Canis lupus familiaris: one gene and its partners. The protein of the gene in region 1 interacts with the protein of each later gene in a biochemical or structural test. Links are inferred from orthologs where the notes say so. Each region holds a gene or a part of one and is shown on either strand. Other genes may lie near its edges.

Region 1 (2,698 bases):
TGGGCCAGCATAGGCTTCTGAGACAGATGGAGCAGGAGTTCCAGTCCATTGTTCTCAGGTGTGTGTTCAGCCTCCCTGAGCCCCCACTTCCTCACCTGTGAAGTGGAGTAACACTGCCTGCCCACATTGTAGGTTGACATGTGAGAGAGAGAAAAAAAAGAGAGAGAGAGACCCTTTTAAAGCTTCTAGTGGAGTATCAGCACATGGGCAGTGCTCAATAAAGGGGGGACTTTCCCTCTCTTCGTCTGTAACCAGCTCTGCCTCTCAGTGTCTCCACGTGTACAATGGACTGGGTTGTTCGTTTTCAAACCACCCTAGGTCCTACAGAGGAGCCACTGCAACAGGTGGTTCTCCCCCCCACACCTTCACCTAGGGTGTATATGATACTGTGATCTGAGGTAAGATGTCATGTGAATGGGGTTTCTGCAGCTACTTGAGTATGAGAAGCACTGGGCATGATGATCCCTGGCAAGTGAGACTTCTTAGTCTCTAGGCAGAGCAGCCAGGGAGCAGGAACCTTGGGGGTGGCGGGGGTGGTGGGGAACACCACATCTGGCTGTCTGGGTCAGCCTGCAGAGTGTGTGAGGAAGAGGAGGGCAGAGGCCAGGGACAGAGAGGATGGGTGAAGAAAGAGTGGGCAGGACACAGCCTGGAGGGCAGGAGCAGCACAAAGAGAACAGGTGGGGAGGTGAACAAGACAGTCTGCCCGTCGGGGTGAAAGCGAGAGAAGCTGGACGCTGCTCCAAGGGTCTGCCTTGCCCCCACAGCCCCTCTCAGGAGTCGCTGAGGCCTGTGGCATGCTGCCTTGGGAAACTAACCAACATTGCCATCTCTGCCACAGTGGATGGGCCCAGGGGTCCATGCTCAAGCCAAGAGGACCACATTTAGGCTAGAAGCAAGGGAGGCCTCACCTGAGACCGCTTGGCATAGTACTCTATCCAATCAGAATGTTCCAGCAGGTTACTGACAAATCCATTGCAACCAGATCCTCCCTTCCAAGGAGCACTGTGACAGTCAGATCACGTCTCCCAGGCTCGAGGATGCTGAGGCCTGAGTGGCTCTGTAGCTGTTGGGTGGCTCCTTTGCAGCCTGACCAATCCATGGGCCCTTGTAATAAACCCCTCTGACCAAAAATCATCTGGTTCTCCACTTGAGGCCCCTCCTCATAGACTGCTCCCTGACCACTTTATCTAAAATACCTTCCCCAGGGATCCCTGGGTGGCACAGCGGTTTAGTGCCTGCCTTTGGCCCAGGGCGTGATCCTCGAGACCTGGGATCAAATCCCACGTCGGGCTCCCGGTGCATGGAGCCTGCTTTTCCCTCTGCCTATGTCTCTGCCTCTCTCTCTCTCTCTCTCTCTCTCTCTCTGTGACTATCATAAATAAATAAAAAAAATTAAAAAAAGAACTTCTTTAAAAAAATAAATAAAATAAAATACCTTCCCCTGTCACTAATTGATCACTTTATTTTTTTCCTTCATAGCAGTTATACTATGTGAAATTATTCCATGATTTATGTCTGTCCGTGTACTGTGTGTGTCTTTCCTCCTGAGAGCAGGGACTTGGTCTCCCTTGTGCTAGTGTGTTCTGGTGGCAAATGCCTAATATAGTTTTGTCAAATTCTTGAACTTCAAAGAGCCTGGAACCTCAGTCCCTCTGGATCAGGGCATAATGTGACCTTCCAGAGCCACCTGTCTCAGGGACAAGACTGCAAGGGAGGTGGGGCACACCCCCCTCCACCCCTGTACCTGTCCCACAGCCTGCCCCCCCTGCCCCACCTCCCAGCAGCCAGGCCCAGCCTGGGCAGTCAAGGGTGACCTGTATCTCAGGCTGCTCCAGCAGGAACCAGCGCAGGGGGTACGTGCGGGCGTGCATCATGTCCACTGGCACCGTGAACTGCTCGTTCAGGTGGAAACTGTCTCTCTGGGTGAGGCTTGGATCAAACTTGCTCCTCCAGAAACCTATATCCAGCAGAGGGCAGGGGTCACGTAGACTGGGACAGGGGTGGGTTCCACACCACTAGTCTCTTCTCCATCCCACCCAGAACCCATTCAAGGGACAAAAAGTAGAAGTCAAAAGCCCAAGGGGCACTGTGCCAGTTGATTCCCAGTTGATCTGAGGTTTCTTCCCTGCAGCATTTTTGAAATCTGGGCTTGCATTCTTCCTATGTCCTGTCATGCTCCCAGGAGCACCCCCAACCCCACCCTCAATCCTTTCAGACTCAGTTTCCTCCTAGGGTTCTCTCATCCAGTTCCTGAGGCCCCTCACTGGCACACCATTACCTGTTTCCTACCCTCCCCCAAGCCACAACCTAGAAAGCTCCCTGCCTCCTGACCCAGCCCTGAGGAGAAAGAGAGACCCTCAGAACAAAGGTTTTGCAGCCCAGTTCAGCCTACAAGGCAGGAATAGGGGCCACAGGGGTAGAGGGCCAGAGAAGAGGGGGAACGCACCCTGGAAGTGGATGGCATTGAGCAGAAGCAACACTGTGTCATCTGGCAGCTCTGAGAGGAAATCCTCAATCTTCCCCTCTGTGGCCTCCTTCACCCATTGGTTGATGTTTAGCAGATCATCCCCTTTCCTTCCGGTCAGGCTCATGGGCTTGGCACCAAAGAGCTGTTCTGATTGTTTCAGGAAGTCCTCTTTGATGGGAAATCCTACACAGAAAAGGCCACAAGCTGTTCCTAAGGGCTTGAGCTCCA
Region 2 (3,848 bases), on another chromosome or scaffold:
GACCCTCGCCTCGGTACTTCCTGCAGGGAAACAGGCTCAGGGTGGGGGCGCCTGTGGGGCTCGGCGGGTGAGCATCTGCCTCTGGCCCAGGGCGTGACCCCGGGTCCCGGATCGAGTCCCGCCTCGGGCTCCCCGCACGGAGCCTGCTTCTCCCTCTGCCTGGGTCTCTGCCGGTCTTCCTCTCTCAACCTCTCTGTCTCTTTGTATGTCTCTTATGAATAAATAAATAAAATCTTTTAAAAAATAAAGAAAATTTAAAATTAAAAAATAAACAAAATTAAAAACTTAAAAAAAAATTAACGGAAACGGGCTCAGGGAAGTTGACCGGTCACAGAGCTGGGGCTCCAGCGTGGGCTCCCGGGTGCGGCTTCACCCCTGCCTGGACCTGTACCTCGTCACCTGTCGGGGACACAGAGGGCCAGCCGGGGGCCCTCGGGGCGCACCTGCCACAGCGCAGGCCTCAGCAGCTGCCGTGGTTCCGTCCGTGAGCCTGGGAACCAGGAACGGCAATCGGCGCCCCTTCCCCGATGCCCTGAATTGGCCGCCCTTGGGGGCAGCAGGCTCACGAGACGCCCCAGCCGCGCCGCCACAAACACCCGGACACGTTCTCACAACCAGGGAGGGCTTTATTGGGTGGGACGCGGGCGATGCGGGGCGGGCGGCGGCGCGCGGGCGGCGCCTCGTTCGGGGTCCTGCTGGCCGGGGCGCGCGGGCGGGAGGGCGGGCGGGCGGCGGATGATGGAGTTGATCCAGTCCACGAACTGAGCGACGGGGGCGAAGGCGTCGGGGAAGAACCCGGAGGCGCAGCTGCCGCGGATGAAGGAGTCGATGCCCTGGATCAGCCCGTTGCAGACCAGGGGCCCCCCGGAGTCCCCCTGTGGACACGGACGGGGTTGGCAGGCCGCGTGTCGGCGCTGGGGGCCGCGAGGGGGGCGCGGGGAGGGCACCCGGGGGCCCGGGGTACGTACGAAGCAGATGCCGGCCCGCCGGCGTGGCACCAGCGTGCACACGTTGGAGCGGCGGCACAGGGTGGTCACCACGGTCACGTTGAGCTCCTGCAGGATCCTGGGCGGCGGCTGGGCCGTGCCCAGCTGGCCCCAGCCCATGGCCAGGCACTGCACGCCGTTGCCCACGCCTTGATTCTGGGCGGGCAGCCTGGCCACCTGCACGTTGGCGTTGATGGTGGCCGAGCCGTTGAGCTGTGGGGGGTGGGTGGGGGCATCAGGGTCATGACCTCCCCTCCTGGGCCTCAGTCTCCCCAGATGCGCAGTGGGAGCAAGCACAGGGGCTCTGAGCATCTCCGGACGAGCCTTGAACGCAGCACACGGTGGGCACTCGATGGCACACACCGTGGGCAGCAGCAATGACAAGACAGCCCTTGTTCTAGAACCTTCCCAGGGAATAGTAACTCCGCAAGCGGTGGGGGAGGGAGGGTTTCATCCTAGAGGCTCCCGGTCCACGTGCTCGGCCACACGAATTACAAGTTTGTTGATGGGCCGCGGCTCAGCGCCTCTGGCGCCACCTCAGTTCCCAGAGCCCCGGGGGGGGAGGGGGTCCTCCCGTCCAGCGGTGGAGGCCGAGGCACCGGGAGGGACGTGGCAGGGACAGCGCCCCGACCCCCAGGCGCCCCTGCCCAGCTCACCTGCAGGAGCACGATGTCATTCACCAGCCTGACGGGGTCGAAGCCGTTTTCAAAGACCCGCTGGACGGCGAACAACTGCCTGGTGCTCTCGCGTTCCCCCAGGTCATGCGCCCCCAGCACCACCACCACTGACCGGAAGTTCCTGCGGCAAACAGACGGCGTGATTCGAAGTGGCCCTGGCGGTGGGGACACCCCAGGCCTCAGCTGTGCCCCCCGAGCCCAGGAGGGTCTGCACGGACCTCACCCTCTGGGCCCGGCAGGGGAGGTGCACTAATGTGAGCACGGGGGGGCACAGGGAGGGCACGGGGGGCACGGGGAGGGCACGGGGAGGACACGGGAGCAGAGGGAGGGGACGGGGAGCACGGGGGGCACAGGGCAGCCCTGGGAGGACCTCGGGGCCCTGGTGTCACCGTGTCCCCATCACACAGAGGTGCAAACGAGTCTCCAGGGAAGGCGGCGGGAGCCGGGGGCACTCACAAGCCATCCACGCAGTGGGCCGCCGACATGACGAAGTTGGGGGCGATGAGGGTCCCACCACAGAAGTGACCTCCACGCCGCTGCAGGGACACCATGAAGGGCCATGCATGGGGCTGGGCCGGGCGGCCACCCACGATCTCCGAGGCCAGAGCGGGGCCTGAGGACACACGGGGGCGGTGAGCGCCGGGGGACCCCGGCCCGTGGCTGTCGCGGGCCCCAGGGCTCCTCGCGGGCTCAGCTGAGATCAGGGGACCGAGGACGAGGGTGCGGGCGGCCGCGCCCACTCACCGGGCAGCAGCGTGGCCAGCAGCAGCAGTGGGCCCAGGGCAGGGCCGGCGGGCACTCGGCGGGCGGTCATGGCCGGGCGGTGGCGGTGTCGCGGCCCCGGGCCCCCCGCCCCTCTTATAGGCCCCGCTGGCCGTTGCTGTTGCCCCACGGAGGGGCCAGGTGTCCCCACTTCCTGTGCCCCCCGGGGGTGAGGGGAGGCGGGGGCGGGAGGCCCGGAGGGCGGGACGTTCCCAGGCTGTCACTGTGAGCGGGTCCCCAGGGCTGCGCAGGACGGGCCGTCCAGGGGCGAGCCGCCGACCTCCACCTCCACGCTCAGAGGGGCGTCCTGTGACGTCACTGAGTCCGGCACCCTGCGCCTGACGGACCTTGGCGGGACCCCTGGCTGCCTCGGTTTACCCAGGGCTGCGAGCACTGCCCCGATGTCCCCTGGGGGCGGCAGGGCGTCTGGGCCCCCACCTGAGATGCAAGCTCGCCCCAGCCCCCCAGGTCACAGCAGGAGGGCGGCCGGCAGTCCCCCAGGCCCGCTCCCCCATCCCCCCCACCCCTGCTCCACTTCCCGCCTCCCCCAGGACTCCGCCAGCTGCTGTCGCAAGAGGCAACGTCCCACTGGCTCGAGGCTCGGGAAGGCACCAACGGATCCGGGGGCGCCCAGGCTGGGGCCACCGTGGGGCCCCCACTGTCCGGGCTGGGCAGATGCCCCTGCCACCCGGAGCCCGCGCTCGGTGTCCCCAGGGTCCCAGGGCCCCATGCCCCCCGCCCCGTCCTGCCCCTCCCCTCCCGGCGCGACCCCCACCCTCGTCCCTGAAGGTCCCTGGAGCCTTGTAAGCCCCCGAGGGGGGTCTGGTGGGTGGAGTGGGGGCAGCCGAGTCCCTGGAGGCGTACCCCCAGCTGCATCTACTGAGCACCCCTGTGTACTCTGCGCATCCATGTCGCGGGGGTGCAGTGTGTGGACTCTCCTGCGGTGGCCACTCGCCTGCTGCACCCGTGCAGGCCGCAGACTGGACCCGTGTGCACTCCGTGTCCCCGTCTCTACAATGCGCGTGAGCCACAGGCTCTGGGGGCAAAATGAGGATAAACGGACATGGGTGACAAAGTGGCATCCTCGAGGGTCACTACCCGTTAGCCACCTGTGGGGCAGGGGGGTGGCCGCCGCGAGGGGCGCAGGCCGGCGGGGCTCTACGTCCACTCGGGACCCCGGGGATGCGGGCACCTCACCCGGCGTCACTCAGGCCACAGTAAGAACGTCCTTGGGGGCGCGGGGACCTCGAGTGTGGGGACTGCTGCCCCCCCACCCCCGGCACCGCGGCCCCCTCCCCTTCTGGGTCCGACCCCTCCGGAGCAGCCTCAGGGGCCTTCCAGCTGCGGGTCTGCGTTCCCGTCACGGGCCGTGGACGCCCCCCCCCACGTCCTCACTGCCCCCTCCCTGGGCACGAAGGGTCCC
Region 3 (3,650 bases), on another chromosome or scaffold:
GAAGTACAGAGTTTATTTTCAATAAATGTTATAGATGTGTCACTTATTATTACAGAATCCAACAGTCCACGCACGGGAAACATTTATCCACAATAATACTAAAAAACGTTGAGGTTTGGCAGTAGATGGTATAAGTACAGTGTCTTGATTTGATTACTGTCAATTATTTCTGAGCATGCTAAATTCCCTACCCGTGTTCTGGCTTCTAGGTATGTTGATGAATCACTCTGTCTCCCATCCAACTAATTATTTCTCATTATTCCTTCAATCCAAGTAACAAACCTTGACACACGAACATAGACACCAGGCTTATTGGGACGGGCACAGCCAAGACCCCAAGAAGTGACTCCTTGTAAAATGTACTTGTCCTTCTCGAAGCAAACCAGAGGTCCTCCACTGTCACCCTATACAGAGAGAGAGAAAAAAAGTCCATGTGAGGATTAAACCACCATCCTTTTGTTATGGGATGTCATCCTTCTATTATCCAAGTATAAGTTTCCCCAGCATTTGAACATTCTTTTCCAATTAGAAAGGAACTTACTAATATATTATTTGAATATCTGCTGTGCTTCAGCACCTAACAAAGCATATTTAACACAACCGCACCAGTTTGTGTTGCTGGGGAACAGCTCCCTTGTGAATATGGTACTCACCCCTTCCTGCCTTGGGGCTTCCCTTATGCAGAGTAAATCCAAGAGCAATTTCAAAGGGGGTGTAGTTGGTCTTTGTCTCACACTCTCCCTCACTTCTCTACCAGAAAGGCCATCCACCAGCATACTCTCCAGAAGATGTGGGGGCTGTGGTAGTGATGGTACTCACCTACTCCCTTACAACTGATCTAGAACTCACCAAGAAATCCCCTTAGGTGAGCTCAATCAGAATTCAGAGACAAACCTCAAATGTTTCTGGGTAGCATTTGGACTACGGCCTTCAGTTGACAAAGCCTTCCTGAATTTGCCATTTTGGGGGCTGAAAGATCTAAGAGGCCAAGACAGGACAGCAGAAGATTGACTTTGTTCTTACCTGACAACTGTCTGTGCCTCCAGCCAAATTCCCCGCGCAAAGCTCTGTCGATTTGACTCTTCCATTCAGATACTCATAGCGATTACACACTTTGTTCTCAATCACAGGCAGCTGGGCTTCCTTGAGAAGCCCCGCACCATACGTGCCTGTGTTTAAAAAGATTAAAGAAATGGTTACTGGATCCAAAACATGCCCACAAGGAAAATTCTAGAACAACAGAGCAGCAAGGACAGATCTCTTGGTTGTCCACGAGGTTGTATAAAGCAAGAAGTCAGTTCCTGATACTACCAGAATGTTTTTCATGTTAACCCTTGGAGGTATAGATATATAAAATTTCATGTTCCCAAGATCTGGATTTAATAACCTGAGTTTCTTTACAGTGTTTTGGGGTATCTGTTGTTATTTTTGTTTCTTTTTTTTTAACTATAAAGATACATTTTTCAATAGGAAAGAGACATTGAGAAATACAAGTGTTACCATAACATCTATTCACTTTCAGATGCTTTTTTTTCTTTACTACTTATATCATATAGCACAATTTTATATCCTGTTTTTACACAACAGTATATAATAAGGGCTTTTTTAGAACACTACAATCTTCATAATTAGTATTTTAATGGGCCGGGATCCCTGGGTGGCACAGAGGTTTGGCGCCTGCCTTTGGCCCAGGGCGCGATCCTGGAGACCTGGGATCGAATCCCACGTCAGGCTCCCGGTGCATGGAGCCTGCTTCTCCCTCTGCCTGTGTCTCTGCCTCTCTCTCTCTCTCTCTCTCTCTCTCTCTCTGTGACTATCATAAATAAACAAAAAAATTTTTTAAAAAATGGGCAGTAACTGCTTCAGGGGTGTGGGGTTTCCTTTTGAAGGTCAGGGGAGTGTTCTGCAAACAGTGGTGGTGATTGCACAACATGGCGACTACTATAGGCCACTGACTTATACTCTTCAAACAATTAAAATAGCTAATTTTACATTATATACATACTTGACCACAACATAAAGAATGGCGATCATGTACTAGAATTAACCTTTTCAGGCACAAGTGTGTTAGGTGATGTATCTCATTTAACCCTTGCACAAAATGGATATTTCTGTTCGTTCCTGTCGCACAGAGAAGGTCACCGAGACCGGGAGGGGCCGTGCACTTTGCCCAAGATCACCCAGCAACTAGTTGGAGGAGCTGGGATTTGAAACTAGGTCTGTGACGTCATTGTCCAAGTCTTCACTCCCCTGCTCCTGGGCTCCTACAGCAGCTTCCAACTTTCCACATCTTTGTTCATGCATTTTATTTATATTCCTTAGTATTTTCTTAACACTGTTTTCCCAGGAATTATATAGACATGTTTATGGCTCCCAGTCAACATTGCCTAATTTTTCCTAAAAGGGTATGACAATGTAAAATTTCACTAGAAAAAAAAAAAAAAGGCCACTTTGCTCCATGCTTCTTGAGTATTTAACATTTTTTAAGTACCTGCTAATAAAATAGGTGGAAATTGTCCTAGTTCATGTCCTAATTTGCACTTCTTTTTCCAATCAGGAGGAGTAAACACTGTCTCGTGTGCTTGTTTTACTCGTTGTATTTCTTCTTTTGTGAAAAACTACTTTTTTTTTTTCACGTTGGCAAATCAAAATGGAACACTTGCAAACCTGCCAGAGGAAATGCTGCTTTTCCAGATAGACACACCCGGGCACGTCTCCGTGTTTTCACAAATAAATCAGTTTTCCAATTCTGCAAGGCCAGTTTTAATGCATTTTGCAAAAAAAAAAAAAAAATCTTTGCCAGCATGGAACAGCCAAGAGATGAGGTGCTATTTCTTCTCCAAAGACTTTAAGTACATTTGGATAACTGTCTTGAGTTTGGAAAACTCACACTGGATCCAGAGTTGACAGGAGCACATAAGAGGGAAGGAGAGGCTTGTCCCAGGCCTGGCTGGGCAGAGGCCTGGTGGAGGAAGTGACCAAGGAAACATTGGCTGGGGTGGGGGGGTGCACTACTCGAATTGAGTCTGTATGGAGGGACCAGCCTTCTCAGAATGTTTTGCTGAAAATTAATTTATCCAAACGTCTTGCTCTTGCATCTGCTTTCTGAGCCAGCTACATCCTGATGCTGGTGACAAAATCTACCCCCAGTTGACAGGAAATCGATGTGGTCTGTGTAGAAGTGCTGCCATCTGGTGGCCACAGAGGAGATGGCACTTCTGAGGGCGGGGAGGCTGAAGGTGAACCAAGGAGGAAGCCCTGATTTCAGGGAGAAGTAGGAGCCCTGAAAGCTGATGCGAGGTGAACCCGAATGAGCCCCTGGGCCTGAATGCTTTCCTTGCCTTGAAATATCAAAGTCAGGGAAAGCCTGGAGACCAAAGGGGAGAACAGGAGTGCTCCCACTGAGAAGCTTATTATTGACATCCAAGAAAATCCATTAACAGGCAGGACATCTGCTTGCTGACTCCTCCTGGTCCAGTGCATATACTGAGAATGGTCTCCCAGGGCCGTGAGGGTGAGGCCAGCATAGATGGGGGAGCCTGGCACAGGGTGGTGGTGAGGAAAGCGTGGGTGGTGGGTGGAACAGATGGGCGGCAGGTGGGCTTCAAGGGGTCCAGCTCTCCACCAGCTGTGTGCAAGCGCTTCCCAGG

The links.
Region 2: of the proteins of SERPINF2 (region 1) and ELANE, one has a biochemical effect on the other in vitro, tested with the Homo sapiens proteins (2 studies listed by BioGRID). The link is inferred for Canis lupus familiaris from reciprocal best matches to the Homo sapiens genes SERPINF2 and ELANE.
Region 3: the proteins of SERPINF2 (region 1) and PLG form a complex in vitro, tested with the Homo sapiens proteins (2 studies listed by BioGRID, with this or other methods). The link is inferred for Canis lupus familiaris from reciprocal best matches to the Homo sapiens genes SERPINF2 and PLG.

What each region holds. Positions count from the first base shown.
Region 1 is NC_049230.1:45,825,087-45,827,784, reverse strand, and holds part of SERPINF2 (alpha-2-antiplasmin), read right to left. Parts: intron 2,654-2,698; coding exon 2,450-2,653; intron 1,961-2,449; coding exon 1,818-1,960; intron 1-1,817.
Region 2 is NC_049241.1:58,268,180-58,272,027, forward strand, and holds ELANE (neutrophil elastase precursor), read right to left. Parts: upstream 2,498-3,848; 5' UTR 2,478-2,497; coding exon 2,408-2,477; intron 2,277-2,407; coding exon 2,120-2,276; intron 1,785-2,119; coding exon 1,643-1,784; intron 1,200-1,642; coding exon 969-1,199; intron 876-968; coding exon 627-875; 3' UTR 609-626; downstream 1-608. UniProt on the Homo sapiens protein: Serine protease that modifies the functions of natural killer cells, monocytes and granulocytes. Inhibits C5a-dependent neutrophil enzyme release and chemotaxis. Promotes cleavage of GSDMB, thereby inhibiting pyroptosis. Promotes blood coagulation.
Region 3 is NC_049222.1:50,051,695-50,055,344, forward strand, and holds part of PLG (plasminogen precursor), read right to left. Parts: intron 1,170-3,650; coding exon 1,024-1,169; intron 405-1,023; coding exon 243-404; 3' UTR 1-242. UniProt on the Homo sapiens protein: Plasmin dissolves the fibrin of blood clots and acts as a proteolytic factor in a variety of other processes including embryonic development, tissue remodeling, tumor invasion, and inflammation. In ovulation, weakens the walls of the Graafian follicle.